3 linked regions of the Rhinolophus ferrumequinum genome follow. The protein of the gene in region 1 binds, or shares a complex with, the protein of each later gene. Links are inferred from orthologs where the notes say so. Each region holds a gene or a part of one and is shown on either strand. Other genes may lie near its edges.

Region 1 (7,882 bases):
GAACGGACACTTTTGCCAAAAAGACATACAAACGGCCAGCAGACATATGAAAAGATGCTCAAATTCATTAGCTAAAAGGGAAATGCAAATCAAAACCACAATGAGATACCACCTCACATCTGTTAGAATGGCTACTATCAATAAAACAAGAAATAAGTATTGGAGAGGACGTGGAGAAAAGATAACCCTAGCACACAGCTGGCAGGAATGTAAATTGCTGCAACCTCGATAGAAAACAGTAAAAAATTAAGAATAGAACTACCTTACATGACCCAGCAATACCTCTTCTGGGCATCCACCCGAAAAATTTGAAAACATGTATTTGTAAAGATGTACATATCTGTAAAGATATATGTAGCCCTACGTTCACTGCAGCATTATTCACAACAACCAAGACATGGAAACAATCTAAGTGTTCTTCGATCAATGACTGGATAAAGATGATGTGGTACACATATACGATGGAATACTACTCAGCCATAAAAAATAAAATACTACCATTTCTGCTAACATGGATGGATCTTCAGTATCATGCTAAGTGAATTAAGTCAGAAAAAGACAAGAACCATAGGATTTCACTCATATGTGGGATATAAAACAGAAAGCAACAAAGAAACTCATAGACACAAACAACAGTACAGTGATTACCAGCGGGAAGGAGATGGTGGGGAGGATAAAGAGGGCCAATTACATGGTAACCGAAGGAAACTAGACTTTGGGTGGTGAGCACAACAATGCAATATACAGATCATGTATTATAGAATTGTACACCCGAAACATATGTTATTAACTGCTACCCCAATAAATTTTAAAAAAACAAAAGGTCTCAAAGAGTTATTTGTACATCCACATTCATAACAGCATTGTTCACAATAGCTAAAACGTAGAAGCAACCCAAGTCCACGGAAAGATGATGAGTAAAAAGTGGTATATACAATACATGTAAGGAACTATTTAGCTTAAAAAGGAAATTCTGACATATGCTACATGTACAAACTTCAAAGACATGCTAAGTTAAATAAACCAGTTTAAAAAAAAGACAAATGTATGATTCCACTTACATGAGGTATCTAGAATAGTCAAATTCATAGAAATAGAAAGCAGAATGGAGGGTAGGGGGAATGGGGAGTTATTGTTGAATGGATACAGTTTCATTTCGCAAAATGAAAAAGTTTTGTAGATGGTGGTGATGGTTGCAGAATGTACCTAATACCACTTAACTGTAGACTTAAAAATGGTAAAGATGGTAAATTTTGTTACATGTATTTTGCCACATAAAAAATTTTTAAAGAAAAATTGTAATAATGCCCAACATGGAAAATGATGTTATCAAATCAATACTCACACTGGCAGTGTATAGAACAACCTTCAAAAAGGCAATTTATCAATTATTCTCAAAAGCTTTTAAAATATTCACTAATTTCTCTACTGGAATGAGCCTAAGAAAATCATCCAAAATATATAAAAAGCTAAATTAATGAAGATCTTCATTGCAACAGTACTCTAACAGACAAAACGTACAAACTGAAAGATCATCTAAAAAATTCAGTAGTAAGTGGACAACAAAAAAAGTATGGACTATTCAGTTAACAGACAATACAATATCCACAACAGTCAAAAGGTAGAAGGATAAACAAAATGTGGTGCAACAAAATTATTCAACCCTAAAAATGAAATTCTGATACACTGTACAAACATAAATGAGCACTGAAAATATCACAGTAAGTGAAATAAACAAGACACAAAAGGACAAATACTGTATGATTCCATTTATGAGGTACCCTGAATAGTCAAATTTATAAAGAGAGTTGGAGGTAACCAGGGGTTTGGGGTACAAGGGAAGAGGGAGTTACTAGGTACAGAGTTTCTGTTTAGATGAAGAAAAAGTTCCTGAGATGTACAGTGGTTATGGTGGCACAACAATGTGAATGTTGTGCTTAACAGAACTGAACTGTAATGTACACTTTCAAATTGTTAGTTTACCACAATAAAAAAAAAAAACTTTAAAAAGTAGTGATTCCAAACCTTTTACAGGTTAAAAACACTGCATTATTCGATGGATTTGAGGCACTACTCTTTTTTAGAGAGGAAAATTAGTTATAACTATCTTTGAGGAATCAATGGTATCAAACTTGATGGTTAAAAACGAGAAGTAAATATAGTCTTTCAACTTTTCAGTTATTTTGGAGTTGTTGAAAATTCAAATACTCCACACTCCAGCTTTCATCTTCAAGTCTATTATCGTTTACCCTTTATCTCTTAAATTCCTAAATCCCAAATAGTATCTTCTTAGTATAATAGAAATTGTTATTTTCAGAGCAGTATACAGACGTGTAAATAAACTAAGAAACACACCCTCCAATTCCTCGAGTGAGGAACTTCATTGGGTGTAAATGAATCTGTAATTTTCTTTCATCGCGAAACAACGTAAACCTCCTATCGGAAGACAGAGAATAAATAACCTCTCCAGGTGAAGGACGAGGCACACAGAGCTTAACACTACGAACTGACTGTCCTACAAGACCCAAGGCACAGTCCTTCTCACTGAACAAGAGTGGTTAACTCATTACAGATATTGCCAGAACTCCGCGGACAAAGCAACCCCTACTGGGGACTAGGCTGAGGTAGCTCGCGGACTCCCGCCGAAAAGGACCCGATACGGCGTACGCAGGAACTCGGAGGGCTCCCAGCGTCCCCCGGCGGCGGGAGCGCGCACGTGACCAACAGGCCCGCCCAACCCGCCCGTTCTACGCACGCGCAGGGCAGCACGGCCCCGAGGCGGCTGAGACCCCACAGTGAGGGGACGAGGATGGCGAAGCAGGCCACTTGGCCGAGGTTTGCCGCCTCCCTGGGGCTCCAGGTCTTGTGCCCGGCAGCGCGCATCAATATCGGGAAAGTCCCCTTTCCACGCGCGGGTCCCTTCGCTCACGCTCCCAATCCCCTCTTTCCCGGCTCAGCCTCGCCCCAAGGTTCCGCGCGCACCTTGACGCTCTGGTCGCTGGAGCAGGTCGCCATCCGCCGCCCATGGAAATCGAAGGAGACATCATGGATGAGATCCTTATGGTCCGCTGCGATGCTGCGTGCCACAAACATGGCTTCCGCCGGGCACGCACCTCTTCCGTCTGCCCCTCCGGCGTCTGAAGAGGGCGGCCGCGGCAGAGCATGAATCGCAGTCCCCCCAGACCCCGACGCCGGGACGTGCACGTCTCGTACGGCCTGCGCGCCCCCCGGCCCGCCCCTCGTCCCGTCATGCCCCGCGAGGCCGCAAGGGCTACGCCTGATCCTCCTAAAGGAAACCTTCAGTGGACAGCCGCCAAATTCAAGCAGATGAGCTTTGCGGTGCTTTAATGAAAGTAAAAAGAACTCATTGTTAAAGTATAAAAATTAAGAAAAATGAAAAAGTTAAAATGCTATCCACAGTCCTCAATCTTGAGTCAATTTTGGTCAACGTTTCGATTAGTTTCCCCTGCTATACGGGCAGAGTGCTCAGAGTGAGTCAAAATGTTTAAAGGTTTCACATGTAGAAAAGGCTTGGAGGTAGAACAGACAGGAACCAGGATGAATGAATGCAATGAGATACTAGGAATTACAAAGTTCTCCAAGTAGCAACTTAAATCACCTAGGAGAAGGACAGGATCCGAAATGAACTGGAAGAATGTTGAGCCAGAGTTCTCAATGAAGGAATAAGTCAAACGGGCGGCGAGACGGGGAGGGGGGGGGGGGGGGGAGAACACTGTGAAGGAGACCAGTGAAGAAGTCCGCAAATCAAGGATTCTGCCAAACCCAGTAAGTGGAGGAATATTCTGCAGAGAGGTTAACAATTTAGAGGATTTTGTTTATCAGACATTCCAGAAGGCTTAGTGGTAGAGTCACTTAGAATAGGAAACAGTGGAAGATTGGGTGAGGGAATGCAAGTAAAGAAAAAATAATAATTGAAAATGAGCCTGCCAAAGGAGGTTCGTAGTATTTTAATTTTAACCAAGAATGACAAGAAAGTGGGGGCATGGTGAGATTAGCAAACTAGAAAGTTTTCAAAACAGTCCCAGCTGTCCCCTGATGGATTACATAGAAACCAGCAAAGGGAGGTGGCGAAATGACCTCGCCTTTCTGGAATTTTCTTTACTTGCCTTTTTTCCACTGAATATGAATGATAAGATTTTATTGGTACTTTAAAAGACAGACCTCAAATCTGTGAGTTGCAGGTATGATAACTAATCATTGTAATTGCTGTAAGATCAAAGACTAATTTCTAAAGAAAGTACTCACTGTCTATAAAAGTCCAATCAATTTATAAAAGCTCCAAAACTTTTTAAAATTTTTTAATTTAAATATTTTTTAAAGTTAAATTTAGAGACAGTAAACGAATCAAAGGTTACCAGAGATATCTGGGTGGGGGATTAAATAGATGAAGCAAAGGGAATTTTTAAAAATAGACTTTATGTTTTATAATAGTTTTAGATTCACAGCAAAATTGAGCAGAAAATACATGTGTTCACATATACGTACCTACCCTCTGTAGGTATGCTTCCACGAAGATGTGCTTCCACGATATGCAGATTATTTTGAGCTAAAGGCAAAAGAGACATAAGGGGCTCAAGGGACACTTCTGCCCCTCCCCTTTATTTAGAGGAATTTGAATTAGGGGTCTTGGTCATAATAAGAGATCAAAGAAAACCTATATGGCAGGGCAAACTACTGATTACTGAACATGTGCTCTCCCTGCAATTACCTTCTAAAGTCCCAAGGTGCCTTACCTCATCCTTAGCCCAGAATGTCATATACAGCTTATTTTTTCTGCTGTTTTTCAACCTCTCATGTATGTAGGGCGTTTCTGACTCTCCTGTATGAGGGGTTCCCATATATAGTATGTAAGTAATTAACTTTGGTTATTTTCTCTTGTTATAGGTCTCATGTCTATTTATTAGACGAACCGAAAGAACTGTGAGAGCAGAGGAAAGTTTCTTCCTCCTCAATTCCTACAAAATTCCTACCAACTGGCCTCTACTACTAGCAATACCTAAAAACGCACTGTTATGTTTCTTACAAATGATGAACCTACGTTGACACATAATCACCCAAAGTCCATAGTTTACCTTGGTGGTGGACATTCTATGGGTTTGGACAAATGTGTAGTGATGTGTATCCACCATTGTAGTATCATACAAAATACTTTCACTGCTTTAAAAATCCTCTGGGTTCCACCTATTCATCCCACCCTTCACCCAACCCCTGAAAACCACTGATTTTTCCACTGTCGCCATAGCTTTGCCTTTTCCAGAATGTCATATAGTTGGAATCATACAGTATGCAGCCTTTTCAGATCAGCTTTTTTCACTTACTAATATTTATTTAAGTTTCCTCCATGTCTTTCCATGGCTTGATAGCTCATTTCTCTTTAGCACTAAAAGACATTTCATTATCTGGATGGATCACAGTTTATTTATTCATTCACCTATTGAAGGACATCTTAGTTGCTTCCAACTTTTGGCAATTCTAAATAAAACTACTATAAGCATCTGTGTGCAGGTCTTCGTGTGGACATAAATTTTCAGTTCCTTTGGGATTGCTGCATCATCTGGTAAGAATAGGTTTAGTTTTGTGAGAAACCACCAAACTGTCTCCTGAAGTAGCCGTACCATTTTGCAGTCCTGCCATCAGTGAATTGCTGATGCATCCTATTGCTCCACATTTTCACCATCACTTGGTGATGGTTGTCAGTGTTCTGGATTTTAGCCATTCTAATAGGTGTGTAGTGGTATCTCGTTATTATGTTAATCTGCATTCCCTTGATGACATGATGTGGGGCACCTTTTCATACGTTTATTGCCATCTGTATGTCTTCTTTGGTGAGGTGTCTGTTCAGGTCTTTTGCCCATTTTTTAATTAGGTTGTTTTCTTGTTGTTGAATGTTAAGAATTCTTTGTATATTTTGGATAATAGTCCTTTATCATATTTGTCTTTTGGAAATATTTTCTCCAAGTTTATGACCTGTGTCCTCATTCTCTTTTTTTAAAATAATTTTTTTATTTTTCAATTACAGTTGACATACAATATATTAGTTTCAGGTGTACAACATAGTGATTAGACATTTATATAACTTAACGAAGTGATCACCCCAGTAAATCTGGTACCCATCTGATACTATACTTATTACAATATTATTGACTATATTCCCTATGCTATACTTTACATCCCCATGCCTATTTTGTAACTACCAATTTGTACTTCTTAATACCTTCCCCTTTTTCACCCATCCCCCCAACCTCCCTCCCATCTGGCAACCCTCAAAATGTTCTCTGTATCTGTGAGTTTGTTTCTGATTTCTTTGTTCATTTCTTTTCTTCTTTAGATTCCACGTATAAGAGAAATCATATTGCATTTGTCTTTCTCTGCCTGACTTATTTCACTTCGCATAATACCCTCTAGGTCCATCTATGTTGTTGCAGATAGCAAGATTTCATTCTTTTTATGGCTGAGTAATATTCCATTATATATATATGTACCACTTCTTTATCCATTCATCTATTGATGGACACTTTGCTTCCATATCTTGGCTATTGTAAATAATGCTGCGATGAACATATGGATGCATATGCATATGTCTTTTCAAATTACTGTTCTGAGTTTTTTTAGATAAGTATCCAGAAGTGAAATTACTGGGTCTTTCTTTGTATCTTGTTATAGCCTTTATTTTAAAGTGTATTTTGTCTGGTATAAGTATTGTTACCCCAGCTTTTTTTGTTTTTTGTTTTTCATTTCTGCTTTCATGAAACATCTTTTTCCATTCTTTACTTTCAGTCTATGTTTGTCTTTCAATCTGAAGTGAGTCTCTTGTAGAGTACATATGTAAGGGTCTTATTTTCTTATCCATTCAGCCATACTATATCTTTTGATTGGAGCATTTAATCCATTTACATGTAAAGTAATTGTTGATAGATATGTAGTTATTGACATTTTATTATTCATATTATTTATCTTTTTCCCCCTTCTTCTACTTAAAGAAGTCCCTGTAACATTTCTTGTAACACTGTTTAGCTTTTCTTCTCTGGGATGTCTCCTCATTTTCTTGAACATATTTTTAAAATTTTATTTATGTTTTTATTAGTTTCAAGTGTACAGAACAATATACTGATTAGACATTTACACACCCCATCAAGTCTACTTACCCATCTGACACTGTACGTAGCTATTACAATACCATTGACTATATTCCCTGTGCTGTACTTTACACCCAGTGACCATATATATATATATATATTTTTAAATTATAATTGACATTCAATATTATTTTATATTAGTTTCAGGTATACAGCACAGTCGTTAGGCATTTATATACTTTAAGAAGTGATCTCCCCTGATAAGTCTAGTACCCATGTGACACCAGGCATCATTTTCACAACATTATTGACTATATTCCCCATACTACATTTCACATACCTGTGACTATTTTGGGACTACCAATTTGTACTTCCTAACTCCTTCACCCAACCCCCAACCCCCCTCCCATCTACCAACCATCAGTTTGTTCTTTGTAGCTATGAGTTCATTTCTGTTTTGTTTGTTCTTTTATTCTGTTCTTTAGATTCCACATATATAATTGCTTCTTGGCCTTTTGGCTAAGATCAAGTGTAGATTCCACATTTAAGTGAGATCATATGGTATTTGTCTTTCTCAGTCTGACTTATTTCACTTAGCATAATATCCTCTAGGTCTATCCATGTTGTTGCAAATGGTAAGATTTCATGTATTTTTAGAGCAGAGTAATACTCCATTGTGAAAATGTACCACAATTTCATTATCCAACTATCTATTGATGGGCATTTCAGTTGTTTCCATATCTTGGCTATTGTGAATAGCTCTGCAATAAACATAGGGGTGCATA
Region 2 (8,456 bases), on another chromosome or scaffold:
GAGACTTTCCCTGCCCATACAAGCCAAAGCCTCTAAAGGCCAACTCTCTTATAATATGTCCACTAGAAAAAAAAATCTGCATGGCGGAAGGTGGTGGTTAAGACACCTTCCTGTAAAGGCATTTTTGAAGTATCCTCAGTATGTGCCTACTAGCTAATTTCTGCTGCGATGGGGACAGCACTCATCTACCTTGGCAGAAAATTGGAGGTTTATTCCCTGGAGAGGATAAAATACAGCCTATGGACTGAAGAGTGTGCAGCTGAGGAGAGGAATACCTGAATGAAAACCATAGGAATCACATGACCGTTTATATTCTAAATTTTGACACGCCTTTCAGGCTCCCAACACATTGCTAGCTCAACTTCATACCATTCATGCAGGAGGAAAGAAGACTCTTTTCTGAGGAATCTGTTCCCAAAGGGATTTCCTAAATACATCACATTAAAGCAACCCCTCCGCCAACCAAATGGCCGGGTCAGATCAGGATGACAAGCCCTAACCCTGGACACAGAGTGTCCAATAAGCATTTCAGTGACTCTAGTGGCCCAGGATCATCATGAAGAAAGTCTCTAATAGGAAGAAAGGAAATCCTTCCCAAATAAAACTAAGAAAAACAAAAAAACTTAGAGGAAACAGATTATGTAAGAAGAAAAAATACTCAACAAAATATTATTAATGATCTCAAAGGAGAAAATACATCCTTGAAGCAAGAACAGTATATTTTAAAAAGAGAGATAACAAAAAAAAGAGCTTTTGGATATAAAAAGGATAACAGCAGAAAATCCAACAATTATCAAACCAAAAACTATTAAATATTGAATATCTTACTGAACATTGGTTGGAAGAAAAGCAAAACAGGGTGAATGAATAAATAAACTGATAAAGCCACACAATGGAAAATTATTCACTGCTAAAAGGAAATGAGCTATGAAACCATAAAAAATTATGGAGGAACTTAAATGCATATTACTAAGTGAAGAAGCCTTAAAACCTGAAAGGCTACGTACTGCATGATTCCAACTACATGACATTCTAAAGAAGGCAAAACTATGGAGGCAATAAAAAATGGTCACCAGGGATTGGGGAGAAGGAAGGATGAATAGGTAGAACACAAAGGATTTTTAAGGCAGTGAAACTATTTTGAGCAATACTATAATAGTGGTTACATATCATTATACATTTGTCAAGACCCATAGAATGTACACCAAGAGGAATAAAGACTTAAGTCTGTTGCTTACTATCATATGGTTCACACAGAGTAATAATTACAATATGTATATACATGTGTATATTTTTATTTATATATACATCAAAAAATATAAAAAGAATGGTATTGCAAATGTGACAAAATGTTAATAATTGGTGAATCTAAATGAAGGGCATATAGGAGTTCAGTGTAGTATTAGTGTAACTGTTCTGGAAGTTTAATATTTTTTTCAAAATAAAATGTCAGAAAAGTACTACTTCCATTTTTTTCCAACAAACCTAAGTAAAATTGAGTTCTAACAATGACTGTAATTAAAAATGAGGAACAAACAAATTGGACATATAACTACGATCACTATCACCCTGTCAGCTACACCGGTCCTTGCGCATGTTCCCAAACTCTTCTCTTGGGTCTCCTGCCACAGGACCTCTGCATATGCTGCTCCTCCATCCTCATCATGACCCCCCGACTCATCTGCCTAGTTCACCCCTCTCTTTCCATTAGGGCTCCGCTTGATCTGACCGGGTCAACTCCCTGGTCTCATAGTATCGTCTACATCTTCTTCTCACAGCTATAATTTTGCATTTCTTTGGATTCTTTTCTTCTTAACGTCTGCCTCACCTACTAGGCAATAAGCTTCATGAAGGCAGGAGCCATGTCTGGTTTGCTTACCATTTTTTTAATAACTCCAACACTTATCACACTGCCTGGTGGCACATAGTAGAAGCTCAAAGAAAAAAGACAAAAGAAAAAAAAGAAAGGAGAGAGGAAAAGGAGGGAGGGAAGAAGGGAGGAAGAAAGAAATCTGTGGAAGGGAGGAAGAGAGGAAAGAAATTAATATTTCTATGAAGAGCCATAATTGGCCTCCTTGCTGTTCCTTGAACATGCCCTTGTATCTGCTGTTCCCTTTGCCTGGTCGTCCCTTTCCACCTAAATCCCCATGACTAGCTCCTTCTTCCCATCTTTCAAATCCGTGCTCAAATGGCAACTTCTAGATGAGGTCTTTGACCACCCTATTTCAAATTGCAAGAGCTCCTCCACCCCAAACTCCTTCTACTCTTTAGTTGGATCTCTGTTTTGCTTTTCTGTGTCGCACTTATTACGACATAAAATACTAAATATCTTACTTAGTAGAGTATTATCTATTTCTCCTGACTAGAGGATTAATTCCATAGGAGCAGGGATTTCCTTCAGTGCTATATTCCTAATACTTAGAAAATTGTCCAGCCAATAGTAAAAACTCAGTAACTATTTGTTGAAAGAATGACTGACTGACTAACTGACTGACTAAATAAGATAGAATTTTGTCAAAATTTTTCTATGTTCAAAATTTATCTTCATGTACATTGTTTTAAATATGCAAAACTGCCAACTATCCATGCGTAGGAAAAATTATCTCTTGTTTTAAGGTCACATAATTCCTAATTTTTAGGTGTTAAAATATTCTTCCTTTTTCAAAATGATGGTTCTAGTAATTATTTTTTCTCAATGGCCTTATTTGCAAACATGAGAAATGTTCGAACCAGTCAACGTCTAATTTTTTTTGGAAATTTTACTAATATGTGAAATCAAAAAGCCTGTACTGACATACAGGATTGAAATAATTCATCAGAATGTCATTTCACTATCTATTTCACAACAGACCCATGAATACCAATTCCACCCATCCAAAATCTTCTTCCCTAGTCAAGACGGTTCTCCTTACCATCTTCAAACCATCATGATTTTGATGCCCCTGGCTGCTTCTTCTGAGCTTTCCCCTTCCTTCATTCCTTCTTTAAACCCTTCCCATCCAAAGACTACCCTTCCTTTATACTATCCACAAGTCTTTCCTTACCACTCAGCCTACATTTATCCTTCTTTCATGGGTACACTTCTACCCCTTTAGGTAGAGCTCATTCCAAACACTAGTTTGGGCCACACCAACTACGTAAAAATCACTTCAGGGAGATTAAACAAAGACGATTTCCATGGTCAATGCAGATTAAGAGAATCAGAATTTCCAAGATTGGGATACAGGGGCCAATATATTTCAAAAGCCCTCCCAAATTATTCTGATTCATAGCCTGGCTTAGGAATAATTAATCTATAACATAGAGTCTTAAATTAGTCGTAAAATACTTCGCTTATATTAAGTAAACATTACTTATGTGTGCTTTCCAGAAACTTTCGTCTCTAGAGACGAAAGGAAGTCATAAAATAAAAATAATTTTTAACCCTAATCATATTAGTTGCATGTTTAACTTAGGACTTCAAACTAAACATCAAATGTGCATACCCCTATGTTAAATTATACATAGGAAGACCTTAATTTTGAAACAAATCATTTCAAATCCAAGAGTAACTTTTGATACATATATGCAGAAGCATTTGTGAATGTCCATTGATATTACCATAGGAGGGCATCTGTTGCAAAAAAAAAAAAAATGAATGTAATGAAGTTTATTCAAATGGGCAGCAACCAAAATTCACTCAAAAAAAAAAGTTAACCTAAATACAGTCTACTAACCTGTTTGTTGTTCTCTGCCATGGAAAGCTGCAATGTCAAGAGCATGGAGTCTGCACCACATACAGTAGTTCTCTCCGAATCACAAAGTGTGTGCCAATTCCTTCTGAAGTCTTTAATCATATCCAAGACAGACTTCTGATTAAGCACAGACATCCTCTTAAATTAGGACAGAATGCAATGTTAAAAAGCTTTATTCTAATTGGAAATTAATATTTAACATGTGTAGCAAGCAGAGTTAGAGAAAAATAAGTAATAAATGAGAGGTCATTTCATATTTACTAAGATTGCTTTTAATTAAATTTAGGAGAACAGAATAAAACAATTTCTGCCCAATCATATTTTCCTCTCCTTTCATTTCTTAAGCCAAATCTTTTGAAACAACAAAATACATCCTTCAATCTGAAAATTCTTACAAAACAGATACACCAATTCTACAAACTTATAATTATAGACACAAACATAGCTAATTAAAAATATTTGTTTTGAAATAGATGGTAATATCTGTGGTAGATTGGGGGGGTGGAAAGCCAATTTCCTCCCATCCTTATATTATCCCCAAAGAGATGGTGTATTTTTCCACCCCTTTGAATCTGGGTCGGTCTCGTGACTTGATTTGGCCAATAGCATGTGGCAAGAATGACACTGTGGGAGTTCCAAGCCTAGACCTCAAAAGGCCCATGTAGAAAGGAGTTAATGCAGCAGGCCTGAGTGCTATCCTTTCAAAGGCCTGCTTACAAGGTTGGCCCTTGGCTAGCGTCGGGGAACTTAGATTTCAGGAGGGTTTCCGGGAACAGTGGCTCACTGTGCCTACACTGTTTGTACAAACAATACAGTTTATGCTGAACACATGCTTCCCTCTCAGTCTGGAATTTTGGAACAGAGACAGAGGGTGCCTACGTGTTCAGCCCCAGCAAAAACCCTGGGCACTGAATCTCTAAAGAGCTTCCCTGACAGACAACAAATGTGTTGTCACAACTTGTTGCTAGAGGAATTAAGCAAGTCCTGCCTGACACCACTAAGAGGACTTTCGGAAGCTTCTGCCTGGTCTCCACTGGACTTCGCCCCATGCACTTTCTCCCTTTGCTTATATTGCCTCATATCTTTTTGCTGTTATAAATTATAGCCATGAGTATGACTATATGCTGAATTCTCTGAGTCCTCTTAGCAAACCAAGGCGGACTTAGCAAGACCAGGTGGTCTTGGGGGCCACCTGACCTAAAACCTTGAAGCTTTAGCTCTTCCTCTCCTGCTATTCTCAGATGTGGAGAAGTCCAAGCTAGTCTACTGGAGAGGTCATATGAAGGAGATCCAAGGCGCTCCAACTGACAACCAATATCACAGAAACGTCAGTGAGGTTATCTTAAGACTACGTAGCTCCAATCAACCTGCCTAATGAACTGCAGCCACATGAGCGATCCCAGAAAAGGCCAGCAGAACGACCTAGGTGAGTCCAGCGCAAATTGCTGATCCACAGAATCAGAAGCAAATATGTTGTTTTAATGCCACTAAGTTTTGGGGTGGTTATACAGCAATAAATAACCAACAGAATAGGTCATTTAGGAGCTTTCTTGGCGCCAAATCCTTTTTAAGAACTTAAGACTTATTACCTCATTCAATCTTCGCACGAGTCCTGTGAGGAAGGTCTATTATTCTCCTCATTTTATATCTAAAGAAAGTGATGCCCCATGTCACTCAGCTAGCAAATGGTCAAACAGACCTAAACCCAAGATACCTGCCTAACTCCATAAGCTGTGCTCTTTAATCACTATGCTACCTAACTTCTCCTGATCGATAAAAGCCTTTTTAAATAACTGGATATAGTTCCAAGGTTTTACGTACCTAAGCCTATGTAAGGCATTCAATTCCTTTCTCTGAGTTTACAGAGATGCCTAAAAGTTTGGGGTTTTCCTCCTACTTTAAGTACCCAAGTCTCCAATATATGCACAGGCCATTATCTTATTTTGGGCATTTTACCATACACATCCCATTTACTTACTCTTTCTGTGATTTTTTCTTCCTTTTTTATGTGGCATAAACAAAATCCCATATATTTACTGTGTATCTTGGGTTTATGTGATAAAAAGGAGTGGGGGCATTTAAAAAAAAAAAGGGCATATGCCATCTACAAAATAGTAATTCATAGACGTAATTACCGATGTCACATAAAAATACAGTTATAAGAATGTATATTAAAGTATCTATATAAATACAAATCCTAGTAAATAGCTAAGAATTATATTTCTCTTCAAAATATCCCCCTATGTCTCCTAAGGAAAAAAAAAAACTTCGGTGATGTGATCAATTTGTCTAAAATAAACCTTTGGTAGTAAACTATTCACTGGTATTATTTAAAGGTACTATGAGTTCAGATTGCTAAGAATGAAGACTAATCTGGAATTAGACTGTTCTAAATCCTGGCTCCACTTTCTAGTTGTAAGATCTTTACCAAGTTATGTCACTTCTCCCTGCCTCAGCTTCCTTGCACTGAAAATAAAAATATTAACAGTTCCTATCTCACAGGGTTTTGTGAAAAGCAAATGACACAAATATAAGATAAGCTTTTAGAACAGTGCCTGGCACATATAAAAGCCAAAAATCTCATCCAGGAGTCAGCACACTTTTTGGAAAGTGCCAAATAGCAAATATTTGAGGAGTCCAGGCCATAGTCTTCTGGCACAACTATCAACTTGACCTTGCCGTGTGAAAATAGCCACGGACAATACATAAACAAATGAGCTTCAACAAAACTTAATAACAACTGAAATTTGAATTTCATATAATTTCTACACTTTTTCACACAGCACAAAATATTCTTCTTCTTTAGATCTTTTTCCCCCCAACCATTTAAACATGTAAAACCTATTCTTAGCAAGGGAAATGGCGACGCAAAAACAGGCAGTGCGGAGGATTTGCCAACCCTGCTCTAGTCTCAGCTCTTCCAGTAGCTAGCTAGCTGTGTGAGTCTAGGCAATAAATAAGCTTCACACCTGACTGCCTAGGTAGAGGTATCATCAAAGAGAAAACAGGAATAATACCTTCCGGCCAGTTTCAAGGAGTCAATGAGAATGAATATGCACTCTCAGTGTCAGGCTGCACTACACAAAAGCAATAGGAGGCGGCAGCCGTCATTACTCTTGTTCTAAAAAATTGGATTAGAAGCTGTACTAGGCCAAAAATTGAAAAGCAGGAAACTACCACTGGGGAAGCAGTGAGATGATTAAAAGAAGTACACTTTTGAGTCAGACAGACGAGGGTCCACATCCAGGGTCTCCCATTTATTAGCTGTATGCCTTTCGGTATTTAAAATCTCTGAGGAGTATTTATTTTTTCATGTGCAAAAAGGGGAGGATATCTCCTACCTCATAAAATCATGAGACGTCAGTGAGACAAGTAAATAATCCACCTAGTGCCTGCACTCAGTAAGTACTCAATAAAAAAATAGCAGTCGTTGCTGCTACCGTTATCATTGTCAGAATGTGTGTCCTAAATGGCCCCTGAGAGAATATAAAAGGGAAAGGACGAATGGAGCGGACTTGGAGTCTGCCTATGTTTTGGGAGTCGGACCCTGGCTTCCTGCCTAATGAATCTAAGTAGGGCACTAAGGGCCTCAGTCTTCAGCTCCACTCGTTACTAGATACGGCAAACTGTTCAACACACCCAGACCCAGTCAGGCTAAAGAGCGCAGCCACAGCACAAATAATACCCTAAACGGTCACATGACGCTTGGCTGTCACCAGAAAACTAGCGGCCTGAATCACCACTTAACGTGTGACAGGAGAGTAAGGAAAGGCGAGACTCACCTGGCTCGGGGGAGAAGCTGGGGGTGCAAATGCAACAGAAGTAAGGCGCCGCCCAGCTGCAGTCTCTCTACGATTCGAATACTCCCGGGTTACATTTTAAATCTCGCGGGAGCGTCTGGGAGCCAATCGCCGCTCCCGCCCTCTGACCCGGAAGCCGAATCGACGTGAGCGGCGGGAACCCCGGGTGGAGACCAGCTACCATCTGGCCGCTTCCCGGTTTCCTCCGGTGCGTATCAAGGCGCCCAAGGGGTCGGGCCGCTTCGCTACCAAATGCCTCAAGCTCCCCGGGCGGTTGTCCACCCCTCTTCCCTCCGACCTCAGGCTCGGGGAGGTGGTAGCGGGGTCTCACGGGGCCTGCCGACCATTGGAGAGGCGTCGGGGCTCTTTGCAGTAACTTCTTTTATTCCCTCCCTCCTCTACCCTTCCCGTTTTAGAGGGGCAAGTGCAGCCCGCCCCGTACTGCGAGACCCTGACAATGTAGTGAGATTGGGCACTACTTTAATGAGCAGTAGGGGACCGAATATCCTAACATCGAATCTTTTGCACTTCCCACACCACTGTGCCTCTGAGGGCATCTCACCTGCTGGTCACCCTTAACAAATGATCAGTCCAGGATGCCCACTTGCAAGAGTACTAGTTTATAGGCACCCAGAGGTGGGGCTCATCTGAATCTCAGTAAATACTCATCAGGCACTTGATAATGTTTGTTGCCGAACCCAACTTTTCAGGACAACTGCATCCAATTAAAAACAACAACACAACTCTTTAGAATCGGTAAATCTCATCTGGAAGTGGTACTTCCAGAGTGCACACCAGGCCACTACAGGTTAGTTGACTTTCATGCCTGGTTTTTTGAGTATTATTTTTATATTACACATTTTGGCACTCCTTCCAGATCCTGTATTTTGTATCTGCCAATGTTGTAGCACTTTCACACTGA
Region 3 (8,074 bases), on another chromosome or scaffold:
AAAAGAAAGAAAGATTCTACACGGCATTTCTGCAGAAAAACGGAGTTCATCTGGTGCAGTAGAAAAAGTACGCACAGGCTTTGGAGTCAGAAATAGGTTCAAAACCCTTGTCCACCACACCTCAGGCATACAACAATAAAAAACAATCCAGCACAGCTCACTGACCTCTTATATTGCTGAAATTAGTCGATACTTTCTATTAGTTTTTCACTTGATCTGACTCCTCCTTAAAACCTTTGATTTCTATGACATGAGTCTTTCCTGAAACTCCTCCCAACTTTGGGCACCCCCCTTCCTGGTCTGATCCTAATCAATCCATTTCTTCCTATCTCTGCCTGGGCTCAGGCCTTCATCAGTCCTCACTGGACAGGTACCCCAGCCTCTCACCAGCCTCACTCTCCACCCTCAGGGCTGTTGTTAGACTTAAGCCTGGTTATGCTGCTTGCTTGTTCATGCTCCTTTAGTGGCTCCCCACAGCCTACAGGACAAGGTCCAACACCCTTGGCGTGCCACTGAAGATCACTTAAGACCTCTTCTCTGATCACTTCTACAGGCTGTCTCGCATCTCTCCCTCCCAAGTCCACCCCAACACTCCAACCATGACCAATTCTTGTTTTTTTCCATTTAAGTAGAGTTGGTATACAATCATATATTGTATATTAGTTTTAGGAGCACAATATAGTGATTCGGCATTTTTATATCTTACAATATGATCACCCCACTAATTCTAGTAATCATCTGTAACCCTGTAAACTCACTGTATTTTTCACTATATTCCTCTCCCCCATTTTACCTCTCTTTGAGTATAAACTATTGAATCTCCACTACACTTTCCAATACCATTGCCACTAGCCACAGGTAGCTATTTAAATGGCAATTAATTAAAATTTGATTAAATTAAAAATACAATGTGTTGTACTGACCCCATTTCATGTGTTTAACAGCCACATTTCCATCATCACAGAAAATTCTACTCGATGGAGTTGCCCTAGAAGATTATCTCTAAGTTTTCTTACAGTGTCAATACTCATTGATTCCAGGGACCACATACCGTGTTTCCTCAAAAATAAGACCTAACCAGACAATCAGCTCTAATGTTTCTGTTGGAACAAAACTTAATATAAGACCGGGTCTAAAAGACGCATTAGAGCTGATTATCCGGCTAGGTCTTATTTTCAGGGAAACACAGTAAGAGTAGATCCAAGCAGCACAGGTTCTTCACTATTAATCAGTGACAATATCTCAAGGCATTGATTTATAAAATAAATGATGCTTGTATAAGGTGTAAAAGAAAAAGAGTTTCACCTTTTAGGCTGGGATTTTTCCACTGAAAAACCCAAAAGCTTTTATTTTTTAAAGAGGCAGGGTGTTTTTAAAAGTTTATTGTTCTGGCCTTCCTCTTCAGAAAGACAATAGTAAGAGTTTCAACTCTTCATTTCTACATTAATGAAATAGTTAACAAAAAGGGTCCCTAATCCCCCACCAATTACCATCAGAATTAACCACGAAACCATGATAATTGACACGAATGTACCTTTCCAAATGAGCAGAAAAATCAGAAAGAAAAACAGAAACTCCCACAAGGCAGTTAAATTACCCAATTTACTTTGTCCTCTGACTTTGACAGCTGCTGTTTCGGTTTATTATCCTACTACTTCATAGCTTCCTAACCTATGTGTCAGCACCCTCTCTGCAGGTCTCTTCAATGACGTTTCTATAGGGAGGTCTGGTTTCTCTGTAAGAGGCTACCTGTATTTCTATGAGAATTAAAGGGTTTACAGATTAGTAGCTTCCAAATTAGCAGGTTCCATACAAGATTTTGTTCTTAGTCCCCAGTGAAAGTAATTAACAAGAAGGGTAACAGGAATGTGGTTCTTTATCCCTAGGAGTCTGGCGAGGCCTCCCCTGGGAGCGCAGGCCTCCCAGAGACACAGTGCTGACAGTACAAAGTGCTTCAGGATTCTTTAATCCAAATGCTGCCGCTCAAATTCTCCAGGGAACTATGTATCAGAGAGCACCATAGAGCAAACTGGTTGGTGGCTCCTCCACTCATTATCTTTATGACCATGGGATTTTAGAAAGAAGAAACCACATCACCCCTTGTTGTAATCCCAATTTCCCTTCAGTATAAATCATCTGAGTTTCAACACAGCGCCTGGCACAGTCTGCACCTGGCAAGAGCTCAATAAATCCTTGTTGAATAAATGAGTGACTGAAAGCCTGGCACACAGAAGGTATTCCATAAATACTGGGGTGCCAAAAAAATGTATACACAAGACCCGTATTCATCTTTTGTTATCAGTATAATATTGAGTATTACAAATTTAACACAGTTTTTTCCTTTCTTAAAATGTGTACACATTTTTTTGGCACCCTCTGTATTTGTAGCATAAAAAGCGAATCACCAAGACACTGTCCTAAGGTGGTGGGGGTACATGGTATTTGTTGAGGAATGACTGTATGACAAGCTCATAAAATATGAAGCAAGGCAGTGTAATGAGGCCAACAAGAGCCCTGGGGCCAGATGCCTTAGTTCAAATCCCAATGCAGCCACATAAGGGGACGTTGGCCAGGTCACTTGGGATCAGCCAAACAGAGATCAGCTTCTCCGTTTGGAAACAAAGGGATAATATCTATTTATCTTGTGTGGTTCTTTCATGAATTAGAAAAAGAAAATACAGAGAAATCACTTAGCACGAGGCCTGCCATATGGGACACAGGAAATTTAAAAATGGTAAAAATCACTAGTAAGTGCTAACGTTCCTTGAGGCTTACCATGTGCCTGTCACTGTACCACACATGCTAAATGTGTGAATGATCTCATAGTAAAATTCTCAAGCCAACCCTTTGAGGTGAGCAAACTAATGCGCAGAGAGTGAGGACAGGCTTGGGGCTGAGCCGGGATTCGAACCCGGCAATACGGTATTTTCCACTATTCTAGCAGCAGCGACAACTTAAAAGCTTAGGCGCCGAAACAGGCACTATACCTGCAGTTTTGTTTTTTTTAATTGAATCCACCCCCAAAGTCCTGTGAAGAAGCGTTAAGTCCACAGAGCTGTGAGGCTCAGAGAAGTTCTGCGATTTGCCCAAAGTCACTAAGCGCGACCCTCAGCCTGGGGAAGCAAACACCCCCTTGCCCACCATCCGAGTTTGGAAGCTTCCCAGCACTCACTCGCACGCAATCTCTGCACTTCGGAGTCCCAAAGCAGACACCATCCCCGTACCCCCCGCGGGGAACCCCGAAACCCTGTCGGCGCCCGCCCCAACCGCCCCCAATAGTCATCAAAGCTCCCCCTCGCCCGCTCAGGTCTAACAGTTCCGGGTCACTCTCTTGTCCACGAGCCCAGCCCAGGCTTGGGGGTCGCCCCGCCGCCCCTGAAGCGGACCCGGCAGCGTGGGGGAAGGGAACCGGGAAGGGCGCATGCCCAGAAGGCTCCATTTGGCGGCCAGCTCACCTGAGAGTCGCGAAACTCCACCACCACGTTCTCGCTGCTCCATCGCGTAGCCATCTCCTGCAGTCGGGAGCCCAGGTCCCAGAACCGCGCGTTCCCGCCACCGAAACCCGCGTACCAGGGCTCTGTAAGCCCCACGCAGCCTGCGACTGAGCCCTGCCACGCCCCGTTCCCTTCTTCCGCCTGAGCGCAAATCATTGGCTGACCCAAACACTGGCTCCACCCCCTCTTCCAGACTCCTCCAATTGAGGAACCGCCCCTACCCAAAACAGGCTCGCCCCCTCCACTTCCGTCACTCGGCTTGAGTCACACAAGCTTCGTCCCGGCTGCGGACACACACCCCCTTGCTGCAAGCTGGGCCGGGAGTTGTAGTCCAAGGTCGAGTAGCGGGTGGATAACACAGGAAAAGCTCGCAGATTGCGGTTTGGTCGAGATGCAGTGCGTGTTGTCTTCCCTGTCTCCTCGCTGGCGTCACCGGCAAGACCGAGGATGTCTACAAACCAAAATCCAACATTTGTGCAAACCTGCCATAAAGGCATTGAAAAGTCTGAATGGGAAATTTATTGTTTCGTACAGTACAGCAGCACCTGCCAAAGTGTCCAGGGACCCCAGCGAGTCTCCACAACCTTTTCATGGGGTTTCTGAAGGCAAAACAATTTTGATAATCATACTAAGACGTTATTTGCCTTTTTCACTTTCTTTCTCTCATCAGTGTACAGTGAAGTTTTCAAGAATCTACGTGGTATATATTGTATGTAGCAGATTGAATGGTAGAAGCAGATGTGAGAATTCAGCAGGGTTTTTTTTTGGTTTTTTGGGGTTCTTTTAATTAAAGTTAATTGGGGTGACAATTGTTAGTAAAGTTACATAGATTTCAGGTGTACAATTCTGTAATACATCATCTATAAATTCCATTGTGTGTTCACCACCCAGAGTCAGTTCTCCTTCCATCACCATATATTTGAAGCAGTTTTCTATTAAGCCAGACATTAAAGAGATTTGCCACTTATCCCACTGTTTTTTAAAATAAATTATTTTTCATTTACAAAATGTATTATCAATGCTAATGTGCATTAATGTACAAGTAAAATCATGAATAAATACGTTTTAAATTTTCATTTTTTAATCTATTAATTACTATCAGTATATATAGCCCACATAAAAGTTGGGGAGGGGGAATCTTTAAAAAGTTTCAAGAGTGTAAAGGGATCCTGAGATCAAAACGTTTGAGAACTGCTGATTGCACAATAAATGGTGATTAGCTACTCTTCTTTTGTCCCACCCTCTCAAATCCTGGCTTAACTGGCTTAGCTTCTATTTCTTTATAGAAGGGGAAAATGACCTGCTTGATTCACTCGGTTGTTACAAGGAGTTAAGCACAGAGCCTGGAATGTAGTCAATACTCAAGTGTAAACTATTTTTATTGTTGTTGTTGTTAATACAACTATTATTTCTATGTGCAAGGCATTGCCTGAATAGAGATAAGAAGCCTTCCCTTCCCTCCTGGGGTGTTGGATGTAATGGGGAAGACAGACTTATCAATAGGGTGAACAACGTATCCCAGCAAACCCTTCAGTCCAGATAAACTGAGACAGTTGGTCCCTGTACAACAGGTATACACTTGGCAGAATGAATTGGGTTTTACAAAAAACTTGCAAGCAATGTGCCAGGAGAGGACATCCTAAACGTCCTCTCTTTATGTCATCCTAAATCCTGACATAGCATCTTGAAGCAGGTGACTTTTAAGCTTTTCGGTATAATTAGGATTTCAATAGCGTACACTGTCAAAAATAGTACTTCAGCATTGAAGTGTGAACAAAGACCCTTAAGTGTGAAGAGAAGGATGCACTGCAAAGACACAAAGCAGTTCCTCAATTAACACTCAGGGCACTGTGCTTTTTTTCAAAGTACACTTCACGATTTGTAATTCGATATTTATTTTTTTATTTAACATTTCAAGCTTCAGGAGGACAGGAACCAGGTCTGTTTTGTTTTCAGCCCTGCATGGTGACTGCATATACAGGCACTCCATGAATATTTGTCCAATGAATGAATGCGAAAAGCATATAAAGTCATACCCTTAGGCTGCTATATAGGTCAAGGGATGCCTTCTGTGAAACCAAATGTAATTTTTAAAACTATTCAAAATCTTTACCTGCAATTCTTTACCCCCAGAAGGGAACACAGAATCACTAGTCTCCTTCAAGTCCCTTTTCTTTCTTTCCTATCAACCTATCAGTTATTCTCACACACTGCAGCCCTTAAAAAACTCCAGCCATGGCCTTCACCCTTCTATATTATTAGCCTTTCTTCCTTGTCTCCCAGTTTTCTCCTAATTCTCTACCACAAAAGACTGCTCTAGAGAGAAGGGCCTCACCTCAGCTCAGCCAGCCCAGAGGGGGAAAGATTCAAGGGCAGGGAAAAAGAAACAGAATACTTTCTAAGTGTCCTCATGCCATCGCATAGGAATACGTTGTTTACATAAGAAATGTCCAGACCTGTAAAGAACTTCTATAAGATTTTATTTGAGCCAAAGTGGCGACAATTGCCAGGAAGCAAGATCTCAAATGCTATGGAGAATGATGGTTTGGCAGTTTATTTTTAAGCTCTTGGAAATAAGGAGGGAAAGTAAGGAAGATTACATGAAGGTGGGAGAAAGCAAGGCACTGATCGGATTTCAGGATAGTTTACAAGATTATGTGCTCTCTTGAGGGTGGTTATCCTTATTTCACAAGTGTGTTAAACTAGATGCACAGAAACAATGGACAGGGCTTGCTTAAGGCAAAGACAAACCTTTTACTAAAAAAAAGTATATGCCTGGGGCGTGACTACCCACCATGACCTGCCCAGTTCATCCTGTGAGGTTACTTTCCCTAGAACCCCTTTTTTGTCTCTAATAAAAATTAATCAATTCTGCCGGCCCGGTGCCTCAGGCGGTTAGAGCTCCATGTTCCTAACTCCAAAAGCTGCTGGTTAGATTCCCACATGGGCCAGTGGGCTCTCAACCACAAGGTTGCCAGTTCAATTCCTCGAGTCCTGCAAGGGATGGTGGGCTGCGCCCCCTGCAACTAGTAACGGCAACTAGACCTGGAGCTGAGCTGCGCCCTCCACAACTAAGACTGAAAGGACAACAACTTGACTTGGAAAAAAAGTCCTGGAAGTACACACTGTTCCCCAATAAAGTCCTGTTCCCCTTAAAAAAAAAAAATTAATAAATTCATCTAACATACCATAATCTTATTTGTTTATTTGCCTATTGCCTGGGATGTAGTGGGTGTGCAATAAATATCCACTGAACAAGTGATTAGCAATTTAGCAAATAGTCAGGGCATATGGGAAGTTGTAGCAAGAAGTATAGCTAGAAAAGTTAGAAAGGGCTAGGGGTGGGGGAGAAGAGAGAGACAGAGAGAGAGAGAGAGAGAGAGAGAGAGAGAGAGAGAGAGAGAGAGAGAGAGAGAGAGAGAGAGAGAGAGAGAGAGAGAGAGAGAGAGAGATTCCAAAGCTGTCTGTCTGTAAATAGTTTGGTAATCTGTTTCCCACTAAAACCTGTAGAATTGCTCTTGCCTGAGTATTTCTGCAACCCTCCCCCACTCCTACCTCTTTAGTTCATGTCTGTCTAGTTCTGAAAATCTGCTTGTCATGATTCGTAGGCACAGAAAGTACTTTGGGTTTCAAGTCCTTGGTGCTCTGTGTTCTCTCAATGTTTTCTTTCTTAAATGTGAAAAGAGCCCAGTAGAATTTTTGAGAGAGGGAGGATGAACACCTTTCAGACTGCCTTCTTGGGCCCTTTCTTTCCATCTCCCACCCACATTGAAAAAGTAGGGATTCAAGCTAAATCTCGAGATCTCTGGCTGCTGCTTCATTGCTATGTACCTCTGAGATCCACCTATGAATATCCTGTCTGAATCAGAAACTGGGGACTGTTAGGAGTCCCTTGTCAAGTAGAACTCAACTGGCTGACCAGGCCTCAAGGCCCTTATCACCAAGCAATGTATTTTCAGAAGCAGGATCTCTGGCCAACCTAGAAATCCAGGGCTTTGGCTGGCTCTTATCAGCAACTACTACGGTAGACTCGCAAGTTTGAACAGAATCCCTTTTCATTCCAGTCCTGTTTCCTTTTCTAGAGAATGTGAAGTTTAGCTGACCCTTCCATCTGTTTACATCTGAAAATCTTGGAATCCTGTCTGGAGCCCCACTAGTAATTTCCCTCTTTTCATCAGTCAACAAATATTTGTGGACATGCCCACGTGCTCAAGCTCCTTGCTAGGTGCATTTGGTTGCCCATTACTCTGATTTCTCTCTTTAAGTTTCCTCTTTTCAAGCAAAACAATAAAAATGTAAAGAGTTCTGAGTGGTCTGGGAGGAAGTCTCTTACTGGGAGTCACTTGTCTACCCCCAGAGGAGGTGCTGGGGGCTCCCTCCAAAGCTGTAGGGAGCCTTCCCCACTCTCAGGCTCTTGGAGACAGAGAGGATGCCATAGGTTCCCCAAAAGCTTCCCAGGAGCAGCCCTAACAATCCATTGCTCCCATTTTCTGACTTATATTCTTCTGGAGATGTTTAAAATTGGGCTTTGCAACAGTTATGCACTCGTGTTTGCAAGTTTGGGCAACACGGATTTTATC

What was found.
Region 2: SEH1L (region 1) and NUP37 share a complex: the UniProt entries of both Homo sapiens proteins name them as parts of the nup107-160 subcomplex of the nuclear pore complex. The link is inferred for Rhinolophus ferrumequinum from reciprocal best matches to the Homo sapiens genes SEH1L and NUP37.
Region 3: the proteins of SEH1L (region 1) and WDR59 are in contact, whole or in part, in a cryo-EM structure (PDB 7UHY), measured with the Homo sapiens proteins. The link is inferred for Rhinolophus ferrumequinum from reciprocal best matches to the Homo sapiens genes SEH1L and WDR59. Residues at the interface, in NP_112493.2 of Homo sapiens: Asn308, Tyr309, Met310, Asn312, Lys314; in NP_085058.3 of Homo sapiens: Pro713, Asp714, Glu716, Thr717, Pro718, Arg721, Arg837, Glu840, Gln843, His844, Asn847.

The regions. Positions count from the first base shown.
Region 1 is NC_046302.1:5,255,128-5,263,009, forward strand, and holds the start of SEH1L (nucleoporin SEH1), read right to left. Parts: upstream 3,224-7,882; 5' UTR 3,094-3,223; coding exon 2,983-3,093; intron 1-2,982. UniProt on the Homo sapiens protein: Component of the Nup107-160 subcomplex of the nuclear pore complex (NPC). The Nup107-160 subcomplex is required for the assembly of a functional NPC.
Region 2 is NC_046293.1:17,231,556-17,240,011, forward strand, and holds the start of NUP37 (nucleoporin Nup37), read left to right. Parts: upstream 1-4,843; 5' UTR 4,844-5,160; intron 5,161-7,516; exon of another isoform or gene 7,517-7,597; intron 7,598-7,661; exon of another isoform or gene 7,662-7,742; intron 7,743-8,456. Other genes in the region: PARPBP (PCNA-interacting partner), read right to left, coding at 3,717-3,869. UniProt on the Homo sapiens protein: Component of the Nup107-160 subcomplex of the nuclear pore complex (NPC). The Nup107-160 subcomplex is required for the assembly of a functional NPC.
Region 3 is NC_046298.1:22,518,656-22,526,729, forward strand, and holds the start of WDR59 (GATOR complex protein WDR59), read right to left. Parts: upstream 3,614-8,074; 5' UTR 3,510-3,613; coding exon 3,456-3,509; intron 1-3,455. UniProt on the Homo sapiens protein: As a component of the GATOR2 complex, functions as an activator of the amino acid-sensing branch of the mTORC1 signaling pathway. The GATOR2 complex indirectly activates mTORC1 through the inhibition of the GATOR1 subcomplex.